Bombyx mori: one gene and its partner. The protein of the gene in region 1 purifies or fractionates together with the protein of each later gene. This does not show direct contact. Links are inferred from orthologs where the notes say so. Each region holds a gene or a part of one and is shown in the gene's direction. Other genes may lie near its edges.

Region 1 (4,185 bases):
CTGTACTAGGGCTAGTACCTAATCTCACAAAAATAGGGATGTAGTGGTTGGAAGGCTGCTGCCTCAATTAAGATGTAAACAAAGTACTCTAGAAGAACAAAAAGAAAAATCCTTTACTTTATGTTACAATGTACAAAACATACTGGTACGAAGAGGGGGTTTATGCATTAACTGTTATAAGGTATTCGTATTACGGTTAGCAACTTAATATCAACCTGATTCAAGTCCAATTTTTATAGCCTTAAATTTGATAGTCTCTTTAAAATAATGTGATCATTAGTTTCAGAAATTTATACTTACTTGTTTTTATTATATCATCATGAGATACTAAATCATCCAATCTTTTTGGGCGATATTTTTCAACCCTGCGTAAAAACAAAGTGTTAATCGTCGTAGTAAAATATATTGAGTTATGATTTTTTTGTTTAAATCATTGTTAATGATAGTTCATACCATGGCAAATTTTGGCCTGTTTCCCCAACAGTCATATTGTTTTTATAACAGTATTTTTAAATCGCTTCTAGTATGTAAGTACAGATACTTTAATAAAAACGATTTATTTAAATTGTGGATTGGTTTACAAGCTTGAGGAAACTATAAAATTCAAAATTCGAACCATAGATAGTAGTAGCAGTTTTATTCATAGATTATACACTTAATATATTATTGGAAAGGCAAAGGTATCATACCATAAAGCGTAATCTTTTATATATTTTTTATATGTAAAATGATTTATGAAATGAAATGAAGTTGATTAATATGAAACATAACATGAAATGAAATGAAATGAAAATGAAATGGAATGAAATGAAATGAGATGAGATGATATGGGATGAAATATAATCTCAGTAAAATGGTAGTCATTTACTGAGACTTTTTCAGTGGACTTTTTAGAGGATCCCAAAAAGTTATGCTCAGCGGCTTTGTTTCAATTTTCCCACATTTGTGCACTTTCACAGATATTAAACAGGTTATAAACCACCGTTATTACACATTTAAACTTGGAGAAACACTAAATAGACAAAATAAAACAAAACACACAACTTCACTCCTCGCGCCAAAAATCTCGAACCATAAATAATACACTTCTTAATATTTGAATTTTGAGTGCATTAGCATTACGTGATTTGATTACCTAGTTAAAGATTAAAACTAAGCGCTTAATTTTTTAAACAGAAAGATTTGACCAAATCAACTGGTAAATGTAAAATAAAATAAACTAAGACAGATGTGTAAGATAGTCTTTATTGACTATAATTTCTACCAAATTTAAAGCTCAACAATTTTTTTCAATCTACTGTTGAACTAATATTAGCAATCTGGCAATAACGAATCTTTTCTTCGGCCATTTTGTCACCGTCTACTTGGGAAGGAAGAGTTCTAAAAGGATTGTTTTTGTTTTTGACTTAATTTTCATAGAAAAAATATTTAGAATTTCAAATAATCACCATGGTTGATCAAATTGAAATGGCACTGGATGATATTATAAAAGCCAACAAAAAGACAAGGATTGGAGGTGGTGCTGGAAGAAAATTTGATGCAAACAAAAGAACAGGACGTGGAGGCGGTGCTGGATTTCGTAGCAACCGCTCTGGTGGTGTACAACGAGGTAGAAATCGTGGAGGCATAACGAAATCTACCAACTATTCGAGGGTAATTCCAATAATTAGATGATTCTAAAATTACAAATGGCGGGCAAATGTGACGCATCAATGTATCTAATTTGTTCTCAAAAAGTCAAGCAACCATATGGACCATCTTGTTGAAATAGTTTTAGACGAAATTTGACACTTTGATTCAAATCAAGACCCTTATTTTATTCGTATCCGACCTATTTTCAACTTGAAACCATAATCCCAGCAACCATATTGTTATCTCCATCAACGTTTTTGTTTTGCATTGTTTACCTACATCTGCCGGAAAATTCTATGATGGATGCTGATATAAAAGTGTAATGAATTCGAGCAAAACGTTACTTTTGTGGAGATGTCTACAGTGCAGTTTTGACCAATTTATAGAATTGACTTCAGGAGTTGAAAAGTAAATAAATGGACTCCATGGACGGCTGAGACTGGTTGTGCTTCATAACTTATTAGTCTTGTGTCTGTGTGATGAAAGTGATAAAACAGTTCTATATTTTAATTTTCGAAAAAAAACATGTAAACTACATCAAATGTTATTTTATCAAGTGGTTCAGATGTCAATGTATTAATTTTAGTGCCTAAGCTTTGAGTTTTTATTATATTCAAAGGAGGCATAGAGAGTAGCCACATGGCTAGCTCTATGAAGGATGACCTTTTCAGGGTGATGTGAACAGCACTTGGAAACATGATATGTTCAATGATTTTGGTGAGAGGAAACTTCAAAGAAACAGTGGGACCATAACAACTGGTCCTACCAAGCTGCTTGTATCCAATTTGGACTTTGGAGTATCAGATTCAGATATAAAGGAACTATTTTCGGAATTTGGCATCCTCAAAAGTGCATCTGTACATTATGATCGGTCAGGTAGATCTTTAGGTATGTATCACAAAGCATAAAAACTTAGTTTGTTCCATTAAGTATTTCATCATACAAGATATTTTTAAATTTTTTTAGGTACTGCAGATGTTGTGTTTGAAAGAAAAGCAGATGCTGTGAAGGCTATGAAACAGTATAACGGAGTGCCACTTGATGGACGGGCAATGAATATACAATTGGCAACATCTGAAATCAATACTTTAAGGCCCGAGGCTAGAAATCGAATTGGTGGTGCGAGTGTGGGAGGTACTATACGAAACAATCCTAAAAGAGGTAAGATATTTTCCAGGATTTGTTTGTATGGGAGGAGTGATAACAAATTACATCATTGTGATTTGTGACAAATCACCATATACAAGATGGCCTCTTAGTCGAATCAATCTGGAAACACCTAGTTATTGTCGGAAAGATACTTCAATAAGGCCATTGGTCATGATAATCGCCATATTGTTGCTGCCGCTGACTATTTCTACCCACAGCAGAGACTAACTGTTGATGTCCTAGACACATAATTACGGATCCATCAGATCCAATAACTCTTGCATTAGACACCTGCTTTAACACTAACCATACTCATTGAACTCTAAAGAGTTTGATGTGCAACCTAATCCATAGACAGACTACTGATCTGGTAGTAGATTCATTTGCAAAGCAGCTGCCCATGAATTGTGTTAGACCTCTTTCGGAGGTGTTCAACTGTTAGCAAACCCTTCTCTTCTGGCTAAGCATTCGTGGTGTAACTGGAAAGGCCTCCGGCCCTAAATCCTTCATTTAAAAAAACATTATTAAAATTAATTACTTTTTTTAAAACTGATATTTTCCCACTAGTTCTTGTTGTACATTTTCACTTTACTGTTTGCAAGTTACAAATTACTAGAAATCCATTAATTATTTTATTTTTGAAGGAGGTGGAGGAATTAGAAATCAAAGCAATAGTGGAGCACGTGGGGGAAACAGAAGAGGACGTGGTGGTGCAGGCAGAGGCAAACGACCAGTACCTACTGCAGAACAATTAGATGCAGAGCTTGATGCATATGTGAAAGAAATCAAGTGAATAACTAATGAGAATGTGCATAGACACTCAGTTTTATCTTAAAATATGAATGAATAAGCTTTGTGTTCTCAATGTTCTAGATTAATTGTAAAAGTATAGGTTATACTAATAAAAGACTACGAATTATAAAGAAATTATAATTCTAGTACATGTATTAAATTGGATAAATAAACCCAGATTTGAAATTTTCTTGTATAGATTTCTTTTTAGTCTGTAGTTGTGTACACAAGTGTAAACATTTTTAAGGAGGTTATCGTAATTCAACTGTATTACAGTGAATGCATCTGCATTCGGCATCTGCCGATTTGGAAACTGCCTAGATCTTAAGCGTATCACTGCTCCACCTCCAAACATCACTACCTGTGTAGGTTAAAAATTATACGTAGCTACTGGTGATGTTATTCGTTCAATGTGGAAGTCTGTCAAAAACAATGAGAAATACTTTTTCAAAAAATTTTCATGGTCATTACACTCAATTTCAGCACATCAACAGTCATATTTAAAGCTACGGCAACATCAAAGTTCATTTATAAAAGGAGTTGTCGTACCCCCTTACAGGGGCACGGAACGGGCCTCGGGCAAACCCCACTGCTTGGACAGAAGCTCCCTGC
Region 2 (2,684 bases), about 4.5 Mb from region 1:
ACAGGCACAATGAAATATAGTGTTGAATAGTATAGTTGGATTTTCTCTGTTGATCTGCAGTTATTACTATTCATCATTATAATCAAGAGTAATGTAAATCTAATGTAGTTGTTGTAGTTAATAAAATAGTAGTGAAATGAGAGAAATTAAAAAAATACCTTGTTTGTGTATTATAAACTTGTTGTTTGTTGATTAAAATTCATTACCTACTTATTGAATGTTTTACAGTATTGTAGAATAAATTGCACTTATTTTCATTCTCAATGTACATAATAAAACCAATTTATATAAATTCAGGTGAAAGAGAACTGGTAGAGTTCCTGACAGAAGAAATAGTTGCTGAACGCAAAGCACAGAAGGTCAAGTCTCTCCCTGCTGAAGTCGAAGGCTTTACTGTAAAGGGAGACGGTGCTGAAGTTGTTTTAACAAAGCAGCTTAAAGATGAAACGTAAGTAATGAAATCTTGAGAAGGAGAAATATTGAATAATTTTTTTTTGGGGAAACAGTTGTTAATAAATGTTGCCAAATACTTATTTTACTGCCCAGCAATCTTCGTCAATTTGTTGAAATTCGAAAAACTAAAGAAACAAGCCCACAGAAATATCATTAAAAATAGTGAAATTTTAAGTCTAACTATATATTTTTTTCAGAATTCGTGTCACATTCAACGTTAATCACACTGTGGACTCTGATGACTTTGAGGGTGATGTTCAGACTGAGAAGCAAGAGTTCTCTGAGATGCGTTCCAAACCTCAGTTTGAGGTTGACCTAGTCCGAGGAGACACCACCCTTGGTTTCACCTGCTCCTATCTTCAAGATCCACCTGCAGCTTCTGCTGATGAATATAGTGAGTATACATAAACTTAATTATTTCTTGATTCTGATTAATCAAATGGGTCTAAAGATTGAGTACTAAGAAGTCAAAATAGTCTGTTTACCATATCGACGCTTGAAAGACAAACGTGACTAAGCGACAATAACTGCTTTGTACATAAATGATAGGTAATAACCATATTCAATGCACAAAAAAAAATATTTCTAGGTCTATTAAAAGCATTCCAATCCTACAGCTACTAGCTAGATTCTACTACAGCTAGATTCATTAAAATAAATTTTGTTTTCAAATATTTCAACTTTAAATTAGTCTACTGTAAAGTTCACGCACTGTCGCTTAGTCACATTTGCCTTTCAAGTGTCGATATACAATTTACAAAGAAAAAAGTTTATTTCAGTTTAGAATTTGGTGATAGTGCAAGAATGTGTCAAGACTCACCCTCCCCTTTCCTTTTTTCCCTTTTTGTTTCTGCCATAATACAATTAATATATAACCTCAATCTTAAATATCAAGGTGTCATCATTATTCACTTTTGATCTGTGTATAGGGGTATCAAAATTGCTGTTGTATTAGATGAAGTACTAAAGGTGTGAAGGTAGCAAGAATCCAGTAGATCTGAGCAGCATGATGTCGATGTTTTTTTTTTATTGCTTTGATGGGTGGACGATATCACAGCCCACGTGGTGTTAAGTGGTTACTGGAGCCCATAGACATCTACAACGTAAATGCGTCACCCACCTTGAGATATAAGTTCTAAGGTCTCAAGTATATATTCAAACCGAAACGCATTACTGCTTCACGGCAGAAATAGGCAGGGTAGTGGTACCTACCCGTGATGATTCACAAGAGGTCCTACCACCAGTAATAATGCAAATTATAATTTTGCGGGTTTGATTTTTTGGGGGTTGTTTTGGACCTTCAGGAGGCCTTTATCTAACAGTAGTTGTCTGTAAATTTGATTATTGAAAATAAAATGAAAATATATTAAAATAGTCTATGTAAGCAAAAATAATTCAATTATTGACATTGTTAGCATTGAATCAACACATTATAGACAAAAAAGATCAGAGCTTTTTGCAAATATAAATTATTTGGTATCACATACAAAATACCAGATTATAATTTTTATAGTTCTATAGGGGCAAAAATGATTGAAAATTTCCACTTCACGCAAAAGATATGTTAAGTCGTAAGATTTGTTCAGATCCGGCCATGCTGTAAGCTTTGGTCATAGTAGTTCTCAGAGGCTAGTAGGCTAATGTAATTGCAGTTAATCAACTCAACTTCAACGGAAACTAAGTACTATAATTTAACTACTTTTAAATTGTGTTTTCAGACGATGTGTTCGGCATTGACGAAATAACCCTATATAAGGGTGAATGGAATGACAAAGTGTATGCAGTCGCTGGTGATGTGCTCGATGGGGTATGTTATCTATTCATCTTTATTTAGTATGTAAGATACAGCATCTTGTCGGTTTTATATAATACTAGCCGTACTCGCCCGCTTCGCTTGGGATTTAAAATTAACATTATTATTTATTGTCATTATTATTAGGGAGTCCAACACTCATATAAATATAAGTACATGTATTTTCTACATGGATACTAAGTTTCAAGTCAATCGGCATGGCTCAGTAGTTATAACGGAACATCCGTAAAAACCACTAGATTGATATATTAGTATAGATATTAGTTTCACATATTATTATATCAGCTCAAAAAGATCTGAAAGCCAACCTCTCTATGTGTATTTTCTAGTAAGTAGCTTACAAGTTGCTTAGAGAGATTTAATTTTAGTTTCAAGCCACTTGGACACAAATTTTATGTAAAATTAAACAACACATAAG

What was found. Proteins that work in one complex are often made in the same cells at the same time.
Region 2: the proteins of ALY (region 1) and mitochondrial matrix protein p33 purify together in Homo sapiens (affinity purification with mass spectrometry; 3 studies listed by BioGRID and IntAct, with this or other methods). This does not show direct contact. The link is inferred for Bombyx mori from reciprocal best matches to the Homo sapiens genes ALYREF and C1QBP.

The regions. Positions count from the first base shown.
Region 1 is NC_085114.1:10,512,180-10,516,364, reverse strand, and holds ALY, read left to right. Parts: upstream 1-1,392; 5' UTR 1,393-1,449; coding exon 1,450-1,653; intron 1,654-2,303; coding exon 2,304-2,520; intron 2,521-2,598; coding exon 2,599-2,793; intron 2,794-3,425; coding exon 3,426-3,574; 3' UTR 3,575-3,678; downstream 3,679-4,185. Other genes in the region: replication factor C (activator 1) 5, read right to left, coding at 301-365, 454-488. UniProt on the Homo sapiens protein: Functions as an mRNA export adapter; component of the transcription/export (TREX) complex which is thought to couple mRNA transcription, processing and nuclear export, and specifically associates with spliced mRNA and not with unspliced pre-mRNA.
Region 2 is NC_085114.1:15,032,494-15,035,177, reverse strand, and holds part of mitochondrial matrix protein p33, read left to right. Parts: intron 1-297; coding exon 298-448; intron 449-650; coding exon 651-847; intron 848-2,171; coding exon 2,172-2,260; intron 2,261-2,684.